Linked DNA regions of Styela clava. The protein of the gene in region 1 interacts with the protein of each later gene in a pairwise test. Links are inferred from orthologs where the notes say so. Each region holds a gene or a part of one and is shown in the gene's direction. Other genes may lie near its edges.

Region 1 (10,906 bases):
ATGATGCAAATCAGTTTGGCAAAATATAGGGAAGTGATCAGTCAAGCAATCAACTAGCACAATTGGTCTCATAGTTTTATAAGTTTTCATAGTTTTATAATAATGACGTTTGTTTATTATCCCCTTCAGTTTGTTGCAATACCCTTGTACGTGTTCTGTTGTGACAGATAACCTAATAAATAGCACTTTTTGAGCATTTTGTTCTTGAAGGATACACGAAGACCTTTGCCCAACCATGTTTTTTTCTTCGTTTTCAGCTCTTTTCTCGATAACATCTTCATACGGGCATGTCTGTCAATTATGAAATCATTACATAATGCGTCAAAGTGCTTTTTATTGGGTATGGGTACTATTGCAGAAGACCAGCTAGAAAAAATTGGTGAACATCCCCTCGAAAAGTGTCGACGCAAAAATGTTTCATATCTAGTTTACCATATAGTTATAGAGATTCTTTACGATTGTGGATAGATATGCTAGAATATACCTTTGGAAAGTGGTCTGTAATGGAGCGGGATATGATAAAAGCATATATATGAGCAATTAATGTGCAAGATGAGCTCGAAACCCTGATAGGTTGCGAGATGCAGTAAAAACAGTTACGCTATAGACCCCCCTCCAAGATACACGTATGACTGATGCATATGCGACAGCGTGCTTATGGAGCGTTATACCGTTATGACTCGGACATGACGTATTAATGTAATATATACTGATCCGAGGAATATTGCACTCTGATCCGTTCAACAACAAAAGAAAAAAAACTTTTATTTTTCATCAGTCTTATCGGTTTCATCATATTAATCCCTCTGTAGTTGATCGACGCCTCAAACAAAATAAATTTACATTACAATGACAAAGTCGTCGGTAACTTGGAACCGGGCTCAAAATCTTGCTGTGCATCACCTGGAAAAGATCTCAGCCGCCCATGCGTTGCGCGTATCGTGACCACCTGCAGAGTCGCAACAAGTTCATATCTTACTGGATGTCGATGCAAATCCCTAGAATATTATACTGATCCTGACTGTTATAACCTTTTATGCAGCATGCAGAACAGAAAAAGCACGCGTGCCGATTTTTAGGTTTCTGAATCTTGCGAGATTTGACGGAGAGCTTTTGCGATGAATCGGAAGCGAAAAGTGTGATTACTCGGCGCCAAGACGTCGCCGGACCATTAATGCCGCACTTATCGAACAGCAATATGACGGCGGAAGAGAAATTGCGTGATAACCCGACGCAACTTCGTCTTAGGAAAAGTGATTGAGAAGACAGAAAAACAACAGAACAACGTAATTGCAGCGGTTGGGAGCTGGTAATTAGCGGATATTTACTCGAGGTATAGGGATGTTTTATTTTCACGCGAACTGAAAACTCAAATACATTGCGCCAACACATACTATTTTGTTCATATATATATACCAAAAAGGATGTTTTATTATCAAATTAAAATTACTAAGCTGATATGGTACGACAGAACGTACGGATCTTTACAGGGGTAAATATACATAACGTAGCTCGACAAGGACTCGACAAAATGACGTGAACTCAAATCAGAGTCAAAAAAATTCGTGGATCCGAACTGAATCCAAGTCCCGTCCATCCCCTGACCTATACTCATCCAAAAACTGTGAATATTATGCAATACTACAGTGAATATGCAGGTAACTGATTTAGATTATCGTATATATCGCTCCCCCTAGTCTTTACCGACAAATATTGTGTCCGTTCATTGTATTTTTGCCTCCATTAAATTCATTTACATCTTTTTTTTTGGCTGACAGATTAATAAAGCTATATATATTTATTTGAACCTAAATTAATAACCGCGTTGGAGTGCAAGCCCTTGATAATTGTCATATTTCTCTGAATCTTCCCAGACTAGAGAGAGGACCTCCAGAAGTATGTGCACCAAGATGGCGCACAACCTGAACATAGTAGTTGTACCAGGTTAGGGTTCAGGTTGCGCGTCATCTTGATGCACATACTTCGGGAGCGCCCAATATATATATATAAATACAACATACACAGAGATTATAGACTAAATCGTCAGTTCTCAATCTTTCAGTGTCATGAGCCCGTGAATAGGCTGACTATTATTTACGGAACCCATAATAAGTTTATAAAAAAATTAGGTACTCCCCAAGTATGTGAACCAAGGTGGCGGACACCGGAACGTAGTACCAGGTTAGGCCATAATTTCAGCTACCAATACCACAGGAGTCACTTGGCTAGTCCCAGAACTCGTAATAGAACTAAAACAGGAGAGCTATAGTGAAATATATGAAAACGTAGCGCCACATAATTTTGATGACATCATAGCAAAAAATAAAAGTAATAGCCTTCTGGAGAAAAATTTCATCTTTAACCACTGAAAATTTCAAAGCAATTGGTCCAGTAATCAAAGAGAAAAGCGATTTCTTCAAAACGATACAAAGAACAAGAACAACAAATCGATCGCTATTATTCACTACGTGCCCAATAAGGAAAATTGGAATCAAATTATAGCCTGACCCTAACCTGGTGCACATGCTACGTTCCGGTGTCCGCCATCTTGGTTCACATACTACGGGATCGCCAAAAATTGTTACTTACCGATTAATGTTCCTTAGTAAATAAATAAAAAATACCTTATTCAATGACTGGAATGTATTTGCTGCTTTGTAAGTAAAATAAAATTCTTGGGCGTATGAGAGAGAGAGATTTTATTATTTCGTCAACCAAAAAATGCGCAGGAGGGAGCGATACGACCACACGGTAAGCTTCCACCATATGCGCTGTTGTGGTTATATTAACAATGGAAAATGACTAGTGGAAAAACTTGAACTAGTGCGATAATATTTTTACAAGTTTCTAAAACCAAATTGGGAGATTCTAAGTAACAAATCTTAAATAAAATTTAGAATTTTGAGAACATATGTTTGTAAAGGGGGGAGGTGATACGACCATAACACTTCGCGTGGCTTATCCGAATCACTACTTACAGTATTGACTTTCGAATTGCTTACTCACACACGATTATCCACGATGCTATACCTGAGTGATAACGTATTTATACCAAATGCATATGGGTCAGGACTCAGGAGTGTCTGTGATCTAACTGGTATCGCGTACTCACGTTCACAAATAATACCCAACCAATTATTATTGAGTTTTTTGCTATTTATTAATTGAAGGTGCCATAGTGCTGACTTTGTTTGTGATAATAAATATTTCTTTCTGGCGACAGAAAACCTGTAACCATTGTCTGATTGTGCAGGATTTCAAAATATTATTGTGAACGTTCAGGGCCTAGTTATTAATACAGTCCCACCACTATTTTGTCAGTGTGTGCTATCATACCAACACTTCAAGGGCTGTTTAGAATCTGAACCGATTCATTTTGGCCAGCAACAAATAGGCCAAAAAACGTGTGAAACAATTTTTGTACGAACTTTTTTTTACTCTGCAAACGCGGATCAATACTACAATAGGAAGCGTAATAGCTCACCTCCAAAGTTTGTACCGATATATTCTAATGGCTGGCACACTTGAAGTTTTACTGCGAAGACGGTTAATTACCAAACCATTTTTGTATGAGAAATTCACGAAGTTGTAGAGGATGCACAGGCCACAGTGAGCACACACCAGGGTTGCCAGATCCCAGCGATCAAAAAAGGCTAAATCAAGACACAAAAAAAGCCAGAAAAAGCCAACAATTTTACCAAGTACAAAAGCCCCATGATTAGTCAGATTTTAAGTCCTTGGCAACGTACTGATGATGATGTAAAGCCATCATGTCATTCAGTGAGGCACACAAATAGAAAGTAAAGTTCCTATAGAACGGTAGAAGGTGAAATAAATATCAAGTGGACAGAATTATTTTACCATTCAATATACAAGACAGGGTGCCGCTTCAGCATGTAACATACCTACATGTTTCTACTTAAACTTGCAATATACCTTAAAAAATTCTCCCTATATTGTATCTTACTATAGAAAAAATTTAACTTTTAAATTTATAAATCATCAATTTTATTAAAAAATTATCTAACGCCGTGCCGCTCACAGGTGGACCACTGATATCTAATTCATTAATTTTAGCGTAGTTAATCACAACGTTCGTGAGACTAAATTTTGATTACTACAATTGCAGAATTAAACTAAAGCTCACATAAACCATATCAGGCATAATGAAAATTGAGTTATACAATTACTTTTTGGAAACAGAGCCAAAAACTGACAAATAACACGCAAAACTATAAAAACCAGGCAATGTTTACAACCCCGCTTGAACATCTGTCTGAGCAGCTGCAGAAACTGCAATTATTTCTTATTGGGTAGGGTTAAGAGTTAATGTAAACACACATAAAACTCACCATATAGTAGAACAGAGTATTTGGTCAATGTAAACACATATAAAACTCACCATATAGTAGAACAGAGAATTTGGTTGTATTAAGACATGAGTATAGTATTTGGTACAGAGTAACAACACTATTGGAGTATTTGGTTGTATTAAGTTCGTCGATTCTCAATCCCAATTCGCCTGAATAAATAGAACTAATGTTCTGCAACGGGATTTGATTTGGAGGGGCTACTTGACCGGAATTACAATTGGAATTTACTAACTTGGATAAAAGTCGAGAGAGAGAGAGAGAGTTTATTTCATTTTGTCAAACCAAGAAAACAATTTATGCACACATAAACAAATATCAAAAATATAGTTTTCGGTATATGACTGGGGGGGCAACGATACGACCTTTGGGGGTCATCAGAGTCAGTTGCCACCCAATTATATTAAATAAGCATAAAAATAACAGGTTCGTGTCAATATACGACAATACATTTCGTGTCAATATTCGGTCGAGCTGATAACATAACTCTTGAAGGCGTACGACAAACATCTTTTCATGCCGGCATGTCATTCTGTATTTACTGTTGGTTTGTATCGCCTAATATCAAGATAAACAAAGCCCATCCACCAGAATTAAAAGTATTTGGATAAAAGATTGGATTTAAAGTTGAATTGTGGACGATCTGTTATGGGTGTTTTGCGAGGATTGGGTCATTTGATGAATCTAGTTGTGGATGATGGAACAGAGCTCAGAAAATACTGCACCTGTTGAAATGATGGTTGTGCGTGGAAATTCGATATTAATGTTGCAACCGATTTAACAATCTTTTCAAGACATTTAAATTTGGCATATATATGCAGATATTCCGTATAGGATTGTATAAATTATTATTACTGTAGCTTGAGTGCTTCAAAAGTAAAACAGCCCGAAGGTTTAATACATTCGCGTATCTTTTGTTTCTTTATTTCTGGCCCAACCCTTGTTTAACTAGGTTTGTGTTTTTTGTCATTTTTTTTTTGTGTGTGCTGGTGGGCGGGCACTTGATATTTTTCATGTTTTAAACTTTTTTAAAGGTTTTGCTCGTTCTCCAGAATTCCCCAATTATATTTTGTGTGTATTATGGAGTTTTCAAAATAAAATCTATCTATCTATCTAATGTAACAAACAAGGGAATCGATGCTCCGGGAAAGCCTGATGTTAAGTAGCTAAGTACAGGTAATAGACTATTGTTCAGTTGTTGAACACTAAATATTGTATTTCATATGATTTTTATAATAGACACTAGAATAGACTTAAAAAAAAGCCAAAAAAAACGCCAAAAAGCCAAACGGAAATTCTGACGCCAAACGCGTTTGAAAAAAGCCAAAAATGGCAAATTTGGCGTTAAAAAGCCAATATGGCAACCCTGGCACACACAGTGACAGCGACTGAAACTTTACGCGATAGTCAAGTTTTTGACTACCCACAATTCCGCGTACATCCGGGGCTTCGCGATTCGAAGCCGCCCGTTTTTGTCAGCTGTTTATTTACCGAGCCGCCATTTCTCGCAGAGTTCGTGTGATTTTTTTTCGTGAAGGCATCTGTGGCCAGCGCTGATTTTGAGAATAGAGCGGTTGAGGCGAATCAAGGAGGCAAATCTTCATTACCGCTGCACTGCATCAATATTACTTCAGTACTTGATTAGTCAGATTCTTTCAAAGACCGGAAATAATTTACGACGACGACAAAACAGATTAACTTTTACAAGTAAGGTTCGCCCTTAATTTTTCTTTTCTCGTGTTCATGTAGGCCTATGCTTCTCGTGAATTTATTATTTTCTGTAAGATTGTCGTGATGTGTTTTTTCACTTGTGTAAGTGTTGGTGAATGGGCACAAATAAACTTTTTCTAGGTTTTGGCCATTCTTCCTGCAGTCCTGTCGTCTGTGTTTCTTATTTTATTATTGTTGTTTTGTTTCTATCAGAGCGACCAAGTAAAATTGATTAATTTTGGTCATTCTTCCAATCTTTTCGTCCTGTTGTCTGTGTTCCTTATTTTATTATTGGTTTTCTGTGTTGTAGACTGAAAAAAATATAGCCTAGTCTGCTAAGCATGAAACTTAAGTCCTGTTTGTAATTATCGTACTGCCTGTCGTATGATACCGGTACCATTGCACAGACTTGGCAATTCCGGTTTATATAAAGACACCATTCTAGCAGTCAAGTGTAATATTTCTCTATAAATGGATAAATCCAATGTCCATACGCCACTCACTGATGACCAAAACAGCTACAGAACTAATTCAGTAATTACAAAATTTTCTGGTTGTGAAATTTTTTTTACTTATTTAGGATGACAAATATTTATTGAAAGGGAAAAAGTCATTTACTTTCTAACAAATTTCAAGGCACCTATTTCAATAATCTGATAATTTATACCTGATTAAATTAAAGAATAAACTTTACCATTCGTCTCGTCATGTGCTATTAATCTTGTTTGACTGGAAGGCAAGCATCATCAAAAACTTAGGATTCCGTAGCTTGTTACCGGTATGATTCCAACATAAAGGTTAAGTTGCACCTGTGGCTGCCGTTCCACAGTTCCATGGAGTGAAAGCTGGTTGAGGTTGCTGCTTTTCTCTTTAGTCTGGAGTTCGTGAACTGTCTGCCATTATATGTAAAAATGTTTTGTAAATTATTCCTGACTTGTACTATCTATTCATTTCCTTAGCCAGTCCCACTAATCCGGCTGTAACTTCGATTTATATGATTGTGTGTTGTGCCAGGTCCCATTTTTAATATGCCTTCCAACCTTGGCAAGAACAGTTGACTTATATGTCTCTATCATTAAATGTGGATGTGTTTCAGAGTTGGGGAACATTGGCAGTAATGACTGTGCCAGAAATGGGACGAACCAGACGCTATCGGAGTGGTGACAGAGATAGTGGCTCCCAAAGCTATCATTCAACTAAACGAAGGAGACTTGATGATTATAACTCGTATGATTATACTTATAATTCAAACAGGTGATTTTTTTATTTGCACTTTTCAGACCATTTTTTCCACTAATAACATTGGCTGAAATAATTCATCAGGGCCTTTTGTGTTTTCAGCCGGGATCTGAGTCGAAAGCATCAATGCAGTCGTAATGGTCCATACTACAGTAGAGATAACAGTCAGATGAACTATCACAAACGATACAAGCATATTACCCGAAGAGATTCTGACAGTGATAACAGTAGGAGACGGCATAGAAATAGACACCGGAGACATAGGTCTAAATCTCCATCTGGCTTGGTGAGTGTAATTGATGTGATCTTGTATCTTTTTCCTTCGATACATTATATTAGGACCTGATGAGTTGGGAAAGCTAGATGATTTAAATAAGGCGATAGATTGGATGGAAGTTTAATTCATGGTGTTAATTGTAATACATCTTTCTAAGCATCAGTGAAATTTTATCTTGGCTTTACAGGTAAGTTTTTTTATTAGAAAAAAACAACAATGTGTTAGATCCCGATTTCATTTTTAAGTGTAGTGTCTGAAGTGAATTGGCGGCTAGTTAAGATTTTCAATAAGTTGATAATGATACAAAAAATGTTTAAATTTGGCCATAATGGTGCCCTTAGAAAATGTTCACATGAGCAACTTGGTAGTGATAACAATATGACATGTAGTGCAATTGCTTAATTATTTCGATTCTATGAGATTTCTAATGATACTGAAGTAGTACATAAATATTATACCAGGGCACCATACATTATATAATTGTGTGTGCATCTTGCCCTAGAGTTGTACTCTGTGCAAGATGTTTATTTTTGTTTATTCCTGACAAATTTCTCATGTGGTTCCTGGTTATATTCCACATATCGCATATGTACCAATGATGGCATTGATTGATACACACCCTGTCCAACAACACACTTTCACTTATGAACGTCACTGGTGCTTTGACCTCGTGCATCTTGGCGTGACAGTCTCAGAAAGAGCTACATAGAAACAAGAATGGCAGGGCAAAGAGTGTTCAGGATGACGAAGAAGGTCACCTTATCTATCGGCATGGCGACTGGCTGCAAGCGAGATGTACTTAATAAGAGAAGATTTATAAATTAGTTATAAATTATGCTGTGGGAATTTTTTTGTCCACATGTTTTTTGCATGTGATATGTATTGTCTTCCAAATTGCTCACTAGCCCTATTAGATTATTTTTTTATTGTAACTGTCCTACTGTCCCATATCAGGTTTTTCGGTCATTCACTAATTAGGCAAGCTGAATGTTCTTATGACTTTCGTGCTTATAAGCAATATTATTTTTCTTAGGTTTAAACGTGCATTGTTCACAATTTTCATGATAGCCTTTTTGTTGTAAACCGATTGTGACTTGTTCACGCTGTGAAAGTTGTATACAATGCATAATATCATATATCTGTCCAGTATTTAGGTGTATCAATGTCATAGGCCTAAAGGAGCTATCACTACCATTTTAATTGGGACTAATTTTCCGTTCTTCATTTAACAGACGAAATCCTCTCCACTCTAGGAGAAGGCACATTTGGAAAAGTTTTACACTGTAAGGATCATAGCAGGTAAAGACTTAATTTGGTCAATTCTTTTTTTCAATAGATTTATGGAGTACTCTTATTGTGTGTCGTTCAGAAACCTTGCATCATGCTTTCACGAATTCTATTTCGTAAATTTTCATGTAGATGGCATCTTAATGTATACTGATCAAGGTCTCTGGAGATGAATGGATTTCCTAATTCCATCTTGAATATGCCGAAACTAGTAACAATGTCCCATGAAAATGTTGCATAATGTGCCACCATATTTTTTTATGGTATGAATGAATTTCTGGTGTATACATGATTGCCTTTGACTTGACTCAGAGGCATGTTTATTCCAAACTATATTACCTTTCCTTGAGGTAATCCTCATAAAAGTGTTTCATTTTCCAGAAATGGACAGCACATTGCTCTAAAAGTTATCAAAAATATAGAAAAGTACAAAGAAGCTGCATATATGGAGGTCAACGTTTTGAAAAAAATACAGGAAAAAGATCCGAATGGAAAATAGTGAGTTTGATTCATACATGGGCAATTCTGAATGCTGTATGATCAACGAAATGACAAGATTATAGCATGATATTGGTCGTTTTGGAGCATTTTTTTCAGTCTAAACTTCAAACAGATTTTATTTCTTTCGAATTTAATAAGGCTACACAGCGTTGGTAAATATTGGCTGCTGGTTGGGTCATATTCAATCTCTGCAAGATCGGTGTTGCCGAAAAACACTGCTTAAAGTTGCCATATGCTGTAAAATCTTCAAGGTGGTCAAAAATCTGAATCTGTTTTTCATCAATCTGCTCTCCCAATAATTATAATTCATTATAACAATTCTGAATTTCATTTCTCGGTGTATCATTCACTATCTTGTGTATGATGCTATTCCTAATTTGTCATATCAGTGCTTGAAGATTACATCAATTTTTTGCAATTCATCACAATTTTGCATTAAAAAAAATTCCGGACTTCAACTAAACCACTGTAAATAAGAATAGAATGGGATTCTGGATTCGGTTTATTCTAGGAAATGAATTACATTGAATTTCCCAACCCTAAAAATAATGCCTATATTGAAAAGGTGGAGCTCCAGGAGTGTGTGTACCAATATGGATGTAACTAATTTTGTTCGCCTACTTTATATCAAGTTGTGTGAAGGGACTGAAACCCATGGGCAGGGGGTATATTCGCTTGGCTAAAACATACTGTCCCTGAACTCGTAATAGAACTAAAATAGGAAAGTCAGAATAAAATTAGGGCGTTACCCAAACCTGGTAAACACACTGCGGGAGTACCTAAAGAGTTATTTAAGATCATGCTTCATAGGTAATATAATCTAATGATCTTATCGGAGTTTGCTGACTATTTATTTTTCTAATAACAGATAAAGCTTATTATTTCATTAACAATATTTCAGCAATTAACATCAATTATACTTTTACTCTTGTTAAAGCCTTTGTGTGACAATGATGGACTTTTTTGAATATCATGGACATGTCTGTCTGGCATTTGAACTTCTTGGACTCAGCACGTTCGACTTCCAGGTATATTTTTATCTTACGTCATGTACATCATATATACATTTATGTTGTTAACTTTTTATTATTTTTTTACAGAAAGAAAATCATTATTTGCCTTATCCCATGAACCACGTCAGAATAATGGCATACCAACTCGTTTGGGCTGTGAAATGTATGTACCTATTTCTTCCAGAGTTGTATTAGATTGTTTCATTTGGAATCTATCCTTCAATGCCATTTAGAAATAACATGGCTAAGTACATCATGCATTCGATATATCTATTATATTGAGTTTTTTTTTAATGAAGTTGTTCATTTTTTTCATACAGTTTTGCATGATAATCATCTGACACATACAGACTTGAAGCCAGAAAACATCCTTTTTTATGATTCTGAATGTTGTGTTTCTTACAACCCCTCATGCAAAAGAGATGAAAAGACTATCCATAACCCTGACATCAGATTGATAGATTTTGGTTCGGCCACATTTGATCATGAGCATCACAGTACAATTGTTT
Region 2 (10,219 bases), on another chromosome or scaffold:
TCATTTGTTTTTTGTCTTCATCTTTACGTTATTTTTCTAATTCTTTGTTGGACACGAAGCGGGCCTGGATTATTTTACTAAATTCTTTCTGTCCTCGTGGTGGTCGCTGTTATTTGGGGGAAAAATGCCTTTCTCTGCATTGTCTGCAACGGACAATGAAGATTATTGAAGCCGCTAGAAGGATCATTATATTTACTCTTTTCCATTTATACAAGGGAGCCGATATCTCACAAAATCTTGCCGTATATTTTAATTCATAGAAACTCTTTTTTATGTAATTTAGGAACACTTTATTTTGTCGCGCTTGTTTGCCTCCTTCACACTTGTCCGATTTCTTCAACAAACTCGGTTCTCAGCTGAGATCTTACCATACCTATAAAACGATATTTTGAGCATCGTTTTTTTGTGTCGATTTGATATATTTTTCCTTGAATTATTCCAGAAACAGAGAGCCATACGGAATAGCATACTAGAGCAACAGAAAAGAGAATTCGAAGAATCTTTAAGAGCAGACCAAGAGAAAGTATAAAATTGCGATAGTTAATAATACACTAGTAATATATTAGTTAACCTCATTTATTTACTCGCATACTAAGCAAGTTCTGATATATATAGGGTGTCCATAATGTCCTAATAATTTTAAAAATTGCAAAAGAAATTTATCGATACCATATATTGTTTTGGCCCTCACAGATGTATTAAAGGAAGTAAATATACTTAAACAATTACTGATCAAAAAACTTGGTTAAAATATATTGAGAACTGACTTCAAAACAAAATTGAAATTGTAAGAGAACTTTATGAACACCCTGTATAATATTATATATACTATGCAATTCAAAAGTCCCGCTGCACACTAACACAAATGTATTTCTGTAAGTTTCTTCTGACAAAAATCAGACTTCACCAGGTCACAACGTAATTTAGGCTATTTTCTAAGGTTGAGACGGTAGTTCTTAAACCTTTTTTCTTTCTAACCGGTTCTCCCACGCATTTTGTAGAATTGACAACGTATTTTAGGCTATTTTCTAAAGTTGAGACGGTAGTTCTTAAACCTTTTTCTTTTCTAACCGGTTCTCCCACGCATTTTGTAGAATTGACAACGTATTTTAGGCTATTTTCTAAGGTTGAAACGGTAGTTCTTAAACCTTTTTCTTTTCTAACCGGTTCTCCCACACATTTTGTAGAATTGACAACGTATTTTAGGCTATTTTCTAAGGTTGAAACGGTAGTTCTTAAACCTTTTTCTTTTCTAACCGGTTCTCCCACGCATTTTGTAGAATTGACAACGTATTTTAGGCTATTTTCTAAGGTTGAAACGGTAGTTCTCAAACCTTTTTCTTTTCTAACCGGTTCTCCCACACATTTTGTAGAATTGACAACGTATTTTAGGCTATTTTCTAAGGTTGAGACGGTAGTTCTTAATACTAACTAACCGGTTCTCCAACACATTTTGTAGAATTGCTGTGGAAATAGTTTTCATAAATTGTAATTAACACGAACATTGCATTATTTTCTGATTGCGATAGGTTACTACATAAGTGTGTACACATAACTGTGATATATATCTTTGATTGTTATGTTCATTTTTTCAGGTACTTCCGTAGTGTGTGTACCAGATTAGGCCATAATTTTATTCCAATTTTTCATATTTCAGTTTTATTACGAGTTCGGGGACTGTCTGTGTTAGCCTCCTCCCATAGGTTTTAGTCCCTCTACACAAATTGATGTAAAGTAGGCAAACAAAATTAGTTACCTCTATATTAGTACACACACTTTTGGAGCGCCTTCAACCTTAACTTGACAATTCAGCGTTCTCGCACCCATTAGCGGTGCTTGCACACCCCGATCAAATAATGTATGCGTTTAAAATAGATAATATATATATGTAGTTTATTCAAATTTAGAAATAGTTTAGTGAAATATGCCGTCACCAAAAATCTAAATGTACAGGCTAAAAAGCGAGAAGAAGAATCAAGATTAAAGAAAATGAACAAAGTGAACGCGAATAAATTAAGAGAACTCGAAATAAAAGAACAAAGAAAACTAAAAGCGGAATCTTCAAAAATGAAATCATCTTTGAGAAAGGAGCCAAACCATTCAAGAAATGTAAGCTCTGCTGAGATTGTTTGAATAATGAAGTCTATAATGTTACTATCACTCTCTAGATGACTCATGTGTGGTTAGTTGAATTAACAATTCAAAAAGGTTTTCATAAAGTTTAACTTTTATCGTCATATAAAAAACACTTTCACAAGCATTCGACAAATGTTAAGATTTCGCGAAAATAATAGTCTTTTTTATAGCTCTTCCATTTCCAAACAGTGCGTACTTGTGAAAATAAAATTCCGAATGTCATAAGTGTTTAATTTAAACAAAGTCAGTAAAAACCGTTTACGATTGAAAATAGGAATATGTGGAAGGAAACAAAAAGTCGCCATTTTTATAAATAAGAAACTGATTCCGTAAAACCGGTATAATATAGGATAGGATTTGCATAATTAATTATCCTGGGGAAAAGAAAAGCCGATAAAACGGTTTAATCATATGGCGAACCACGGGCTCTCGTCCGATTACCAGTCCATGTCGGGTTTTGGATTAGTTAGTCATTTTTTTAGGTGCATGGACTTGATGGTGATGGAAGCCATAACCGACCAGCGGTTAAGTAAACCACCCTGAAACGGCGAGGAGTACAGCAATCCTCTTGCACATAACTATCCCCACGTAGGATTCGAACCTGCCAACCCACGCAGGGTAATCAAAGGTGCGTGGCGATTGTATTCCTAACGCTTAGCACGGTGCGCCACATTGTTGCTTTGTATGTTTTCAGGTCATTCAAATTCGACTACGAAAACCTACCGGAGAAGGATTTTTAAGCAGAAAATTTGCTAGGTCGGATAAACTGCAAGATTTATTGAATTTCATCATTTCCGAAGGATTTTCGTTGAAGAATTACAGAATTATATCAGTGTGCCCGCGGCGCGAGGTGACATTTAAAGCTTAGAATGAGTAGTATTATGAAACTTTTCGATATTAGTAAATATCGAAACATGCCGATACTCTTATCAATAATAATGGTGTTAGTATTGTTTTGTTGGGAAATTATACAAGTAAACGTTAGGACTAGAGATAATTAAATCAGCTCTAAACTCTCTGTCTAGTCTATATATACTAACCAAACATTAAAAAAAAACGTTTTTTTTTTAATTACCGGACTATCAGTTTTCATGCGTAGAATTTGGGGCTGAAATAGGTTTTTAGCGTAATCCCCCAAAATAGAACGTTAGCATTTAATTCTATAAAGATATGAATGAAATTTTACGGCCTAATAGTTGACGAGTGAAAAAATGAAATGACCATACAAAAATGGACCCGAAATGAGCTATTATTGGCGAAAATTCGTGACATGGGTTGCTCAAGTAATTAACGTTGATTGAACTGAATGTGACTGACAAGTGATGCCAATTTTTGTTACTGTGTACATATTTAGCAATGATGCTACAGCGAGGCGTGAGACTCTGACTCTGGATTGACTCCAGTTAATCCAATATAAACCACCTTCGTCCATTTTCTTAAAATGATGCTTTAAATAAGGGGAATACCATTGTATTATGCAAAAAAGATTAGTCAATTTGAGACATCGTTTAGTGGAGCGAATTCAGTCAAATAGCTCATCATTCGTTTACGCTACACAACCGTCAACAAGATCACGCAAACAGCTGAACAACGCAGGCAGAGCGGAAGTTTTGCATTGATTCTTGCATGATAAAAATAAAATATTTGTCTGAGTGAGTTTCCCCCACAAGGCAATTATCGCGCGCTAGCAATAAAAAGTAGAACATGATCTATTGCTCGAAAAAAAATTCACTCAAAATATTGGATAAATTCTCGAAACAATGAAGTCTAAAATGGGTGCGGGTTTTCAATAAACAATGGGAGTTCTAAAAATATATTGCATCGCAATAAATATATTGTGGCTGTGTGCGGCCGGCCTTTAGATAACTTAATATCTCCCCACTACGGGCAAAAGTTTCTATTAATATTTTTATATTGGTAATATTTCCAATTTAGTTCATCGAATTTATGAACACGTATGATTTGATATAAAAACGATATTGATTTGTCCTATTATTTTTAGCTTTCATGTTTAAACCCAAAACGACCATTGAACTCGTATGGACTTGCAAGACAAGAAACTCTGATCATCGAGATGAAGTGAACATTCATTAAAACTGTCTGTAACTTCAATAAATATGTTTTACTTTTGTTTGTTTGTTCGATCTTCCTAAATGATGTTTATGAATGAGGGTAGGGATCTATACGCTTATCCAATATTGATACTAATCTTTATGAAGATTGAAAAAAACGACCCATTTCTTTAAGCATTCCTGAATTCTTCATCACATCCTCTTCCCCACCCGATCTTCTCAGTGGGTAGCTCCTGACTTTCCACTTTTAATACCATTTTCTAACGAATTGTTAAATGTCAAACCCCAACTTATCTCCATATGTCCAATGCCACCCACTAGCTCTGTATGATCTCCCACGTCCACTAACCGTACCTGACCTCCCACTGTCTAAACTCTAAACCCAACCCCTTACCTATCTGAACTCCCATGTCTAGGCCTACCCACTAACTATATTCGGCCCAATATGTCATTCACTGCGATGAGTTTTGCAGCGTATTGCTCTGCTGTAGTTCAGAGTAAACCATTATATCGATCTAGCCGCCGTTTCCATAAATATAGAAATTGGCGATGAAATATTGACGCACCTTCTCATCCCGGAAAGCCGGCTCCATTCGCTAACATGCATCAATGAATCACGTCTTCTGTTGGGATTGTTGGACCAAATCACGAATTACTATAGATTGAATGTAATCAAAACGAAGTATCTAATCTATTGCAATAGGGTAAAGGAAGTCTTCCCTGTCAAAAAATACTGACTTCGCTGAAAGGCGATCGCGAAGCCGTCACACGGCACGCAATCTGTTTTTAATGACGTCACCACAAAAAACTTACATAAATTTTTGAAATAGATATATGCATTATCCTTTTAGAGACAATAACACTGAAACCACTGAAATTACAATCATTAAATTTTTTTTTATTCAAGCCAACCAGTTACAAACTTTTGAAATTTCATATCCGTTAGTCGGGGCTAAAGATCAAGGTTGCTGGTTTTCGTCAACTGTGTTAAAAAGCGTGAGGTACTATCACGATAAATCAACAGTTTTCGGGTTGATTTCTCGTTTTTCCCGCAGTTTTATAAGATATGGCGAATCGCACAGTGAAAGATGCGGTTACTGTGAAAGGAACAAATCCGCAGTATTTGGTGGAAAAGATTATAAGATCGCGTATTTATGACAGCAAGTATTGGAAAGAAGAATGCTTTGCTCTTACAGGTAAATTAATACCAGAACGATTTCCTGGTCTGGGAGTTCATTTATGGTTGATTGATACCGGTACCGTACTGTATCATTTAATACAGTAATATTGTAATCTGTGGGTTTGAAACAGGGTTATTTGTAAATTTGAGCAGTTCTCAAATTCCCCTCATGCTGACATTAATAAAGAACCTCAATTATAACAGTGATTGCAAACCACACCTTTACGAGGTAATTTGGGCCTTTACGGTATATCAGCACAAACTAGCACAGTGCAATAAACTAAACCTGTAAAACGAATCAGAAAACGACACCATTAGATTCTTCGGAAAAAATAATTCTATTTATAGAAGGCTGGATAGGAAAATTTTAGGTAGCATTCAAGAGTTTATATGTCTGGATGAGCTATTACAATGAAAAGTCACAAATAATTACAGCGTTTAAGTATCAAACTTTAATCGATTCTACTGGAAAAAATGTATGACTCTATTCTTTAATCATCAGATATTTATAAAGGCCCATCCCCAGCATGAATGTTTGTTCAAAATCATATGAACATGCTTAAATTTATCCCTACGCAGCCTTCCAATTTTCATTATCATGCGTTGTCTCCTTATTTGTCCCAACTTGGTTTGTTGGAATATTGTTTGGTCTATATCACTTATGGTATATATTACAATTGTTGTTTGGCAGTTAACAGTCATTACTTATCGATCTTAAGATCGGTAAGTATATTGATAGGTATTTGTCTGTATGTATGTCTGTCTGTGTGTCTGTTAGATGCACGCGATATCTCACGAAAGCGAGGTTGAATCTGCTCCAGATTTTGCATGTGCATTCATCTTATCTCGGACCAGAAGCCTATTGATTTTGGGCGAATTATGTCGTATAATTAGCGAGTTATCAATCAATTATTGATATAGTGATCTAGATTTTTTAAAGCGAGAGAATTTCGAAACCCGCCGAGTGTGTGTGTGCGATGCGCAGTGCGCAAGTTACAAGAGCGGATGAATCGAAACTGCAGTTTCTGTTTTGGGGGATCCCCTAACTATCGATCGATAAGTCTTCGGTTTTCAACCGATATTCTCGTTGTATATTCAGGGTTGCATTTCGTGCAATCGTGTTTAACATATTGCAGGTCTTATACATCCCGATGTCTGAATTTCTTTTACATTCATATCTAGTCTACTAATTTTTTATTGATTGTGATGAATAATCACATTTTTATTTTTAGCCGAGCTGCTTGTAGACAAGGCAATGGAACTTAAGTACATTGGTGGAGTTTATGGAGGAAATATCAAACCAACACCTTTCTTATGTTTGATTTTGAAAATGCTTCAGATTCAACCAGACAAAGATATTATTGTGGAATTTATAAAGACAGAGGATTTCAAGTAAGTCCAAATGAAAGCCATGCTCAGTTGTAGGAAAATTTTAAGAACAGTTTCTTTTTTTATCGATTGGGTTTCTACAAGACCAACTACTTTTCCGTTTTCTATGCTTTTGCGTCGGTGGATCCGTATGCATATAATGCAAGGATGCTGTAGCAAGAGTGAAGATAACTATCCTGAGTAATTCAATAAATAGTCTTGCTGCACACTAACACAAATATATTTTTGTAACGTTTCGTCTGACCACGGTCAAACTTCCTCAGACTTCCTCGGAGTTGAAATATGTATGTCTGAGGAAGTTTGACCGTGGTCAGACGAAACGTTACAGAAATATATTTGTGTTAGTGTGCAGCAAGACTCTTGAATCACTTAGGATCAGTGTTCACTATTAGCGCACTTTTTTGCGAAAATTGCGAAGCACTTTCGCAACTTTTTTTAGGGACTGCGAAATAGCACTTTTTTCCGATTTTGAAGAGAAATAGCACTTTTTTCCGATTTTGAAAGGGAATAAAAATTCAAAGTTAACAAATATTTTCGAGTATTAAGTTGACAAATAAGTAACATACTGGTACTTTTGTAACTCAATTCTGCATATCATAACGATATTTACCGGAATTCTAACCTATGAGATGCAGACATAGGAGATAAAGCTTTTGCATTAACGGCAAAATTCTTGTTTATAATATGATTATTATACAAGCACACGGATTCCGCTTCTCCCGCAAAAAACGCTCCCGGGGCGTTTCTTTGAACGAGAGTGGTCATGTCATGTGACTATCAATGATATCGATGAATTCAAAATGACTATAAAAAGTGTTAGTAACTGTTTTAGTCACTTTGGATGAATTGTGACCAAACTGCACGATTTTCAAATCAGACGAAACTTTTAGCAGCATGTCACAGATTTGCAAAATCAACAAATTCACAAAATACCATTAAGTGCCATTTTATTGTAATTACAATGTTGAAAGGACGTGGCATTTTCCGGAATTTGGCGATAATTACACAACTATTTCTCATTGATATGCGAGGAGGGGTGGGCAAAATTCAATATTTTTTTAAATCGAATATTTTTAAGGAGTACCGAATAAACGTGGTGGAAACATTAAAAAATCGGCAACAAAGCCTTTTTACTGGTTAATTCCGTTGTAATCGCTAATTGTTCTTGTCACCCACCGATCGTTTTGGCGGCGATATCCAGGTTTTGTGCCTATCCTGAATGTTGATTTGAAATAGTGATTGAATAATTCGGCAATAAAAGCATTTCTGCGTGGTCATAAGGCGAGATGACGTTAATGAACAGCACTTCTTTTACAGGATATTTTACGTATGCGACTTAATGCTAAAAAGATTGGGCTCGAGTGCTTTTTTTTTCGAGTGCTCGAGTGCCTAATAGAGGTCAGGCGCTAATTGTAACTAATTCCCTCAAGTTTCAACCTGTTTTCAACAAAACAATACCCCGGCGATAATTATAGCTAAAATGTTACCGAGCAATTCACAATTTTATTTATGGAATTTGCAAATTCACCAGTTTCTTGACGATTTTGATATTGTCACGCCCTAATTATTAGGCGGTTTGACGGGTTCTTTGTTCCATTCTTCAGAAAGTTCTGACACGGGGGATATAGAATACTGAATCCGGAGGGTTTAATCCCTGTCCACTTACTGGTGATTTTCCGTTTTGAAATGCGTGAAACATTCTCTATTTTAAATTAAATGACGTTTTGCGGGCTAGAGTTCTCCCCGAAAATGATGTGTTCCAGACGTTAGTTAGACGATAGATAAAACATTAAATTAATAATTTTCGTGACGCCCCGTTTTCGAAAATACAAAGTTATATCGCAAAAAAATGCGTTATGATACATTTGGAATGAAACATTATTTACGGTGAATTCAGATCAAATTTTACTCTCCATGACACCCGTATCCGAAAATACAGTTGTATCTCGAAAAATGTGTTTTGTTACATTTAAAATAAAACATTTTTGCGATTAATTTAGATCATATTTTGCTTTTCACGACACCGGTTTCCGAAAATACAAGGTTATATCGCGAAAATGTGTTTTGTTACATTTAAAATAAAACATTTTTGCGATCAATTTAGATCATATTTTACTTTTCAGGACACCCGTTTTCGAAAATACAACGTTATATCGCAAATGTGTTTTGTTACATTTAAAATAAAACATTTTTGAAATTAATTTAGATCAAATTTTACCTTTCACGGCAACCCGTTTCCGAAAATACAAAGTTATATCACAAAAAATGCGTTTTGTTACATTTATTTTGCATTCCCGATAAAATACATATTTTCCCTAATTAAGGTCCTCGATGAATCTGTTCCTGTCGTTCAAGCTCAACACACGTTTGGACGAGTGTGGGGTGGTTTTTTGATCGACGATAAATTAAAAAGTTGCCACACGTTATTTGTATAACGATAATAACTGAAAATTAAGATTTTATAATAGAAGTGAATTTGTCTCAAGATGGTATTTTACGATTCCTGCCCACAGAAAATAAACACGATGACAGGCTTGGTTATAATTGATATTCGTTTAATTTATTTTACACTATCAATAAACGCGCCACACCAATTGCGACCATATAAATTGCAGTCGCATCGGTATGGACTGTATGTTTTTGGCGCTCTCAAATTAATAATAATTTTCAACAAAACAATACCCCGACGGTCATTAAAGCTGAATTCGTTACCGAATAATTCGCAATTTTATTTACGGAATTGCAATTTCAAGATCCCACTTGACGATTTTGATGATGTCATGCCCTAATTATTACTGCTTAAATGCCTCAAAATACAACAAATGTAATCATTTTCGACGATAACAGGCGCAACAATTCGTAAACGAGCCGTTATAACGAAATTCGCGATTGATTTTACCTCTCTCTTGTTTACAATTTTAACATCCCGCCGGCCATGTATGGTCGAATAAAATGTTCACATATTCGAAACATGACTTGGCCAAGGATGGAAGGGATCACTAAAGAGCTAATAGAAAGTACATACGCGAGGGTATGATATTTATATCGAGAATATTTGTGAGCATATCACAGGACCGAAATATTTTGCACCCGGCTGTTTGTTGGCAGAACAACGATACGCTAAAGTTAATTGATCGAATACAGGGAAGTATTTATTTATCATCTCACTTGCGAACATCGAGGTTTTGGCGGAATTGTACGATCATGTTGTCTTTCTTAAATAATAACTTTTTCAATAAATGTTCATTTTACTTTTGCGTCTTTATTATATGTCTGGTTTTCATTTATTTTAAATTCGAAATTGTCCGAAATACTCCAACAGGTGTATAGGTACAATAATAATAGTACTTACCAAAGTACCTACCAGGGAAGTTTAATACACACGATGTGTAAAGGGCGTCGCAACTCCCGTTTATTAATTATAAATTTTTTTACATTCTGC

Evidence for each region.
Region 2: the proteins of dual specificity protein kinase CLK2-like (region 1) and pre-mRNA-splicing factor 38A-like interact in binary tests that used the Homo sapiens proteins (3 or more experiments, as listed by UniProt). The link is inferred for Styela clava from reciprocal best matches to the Homo sapiens genes CLK2 and PRPF38A.

Annotation. Positions count from the first base shown.
Region 1 is NC_135257.1:9,743,563-9,754,468, reverse strand, and holds the start of dual specificity protein kinase CLK2-like, read left to right. Parts: upstream 1-5,837; 5' UTR 5,838-6,082; intron 6,083-7,176; 5' UTR 7,177-7,197; coding exon 7,198-7,334; intron 7,335-7,421; coding exon 7,422-7,605; intron 7,606-8,285; coding exon 8,286-8,391; intron 8,392-8,828; coding exon 8,829-8,895; intron 8,896-9,264; coding exon 9,265-9,381; intron 9,382-10,321; coding exon 10,322-10,412; intron 10,413-10,484; coding exon 10,485-10,560; intron 10,561-10,717; coding exon 10,718-10,906. UniProt on the Homo sapiens protein: Dual specificity kinase acting on both serine/threonine and tyrosine-containing substrates. Phosphorylates serine- and arginine-rich (SR) proteins of the spliceosomal complex.
Region 2 is NC_135260.1:5,477,359-5,487,577, forward strand, and holds the start of pre-mRNA-splicing factor 38A-like, read left to right. Parts: upstream 1-5,153; 5' UTR 5,154-5,274; coding exon 5,275-5,404; intron 5,405-6,620; coding exon 6,621-6,780; intron 6,781-10,219. Other genes in the region: FAS-associated factor 1-like, read left to right, coding at 443-523, 1,954-2,109, 2,831-2,986, 4,139-4,219. UniProt on the Homo sapiens protein: Involved in pre-mRNA splicing as a component of the spliceosome.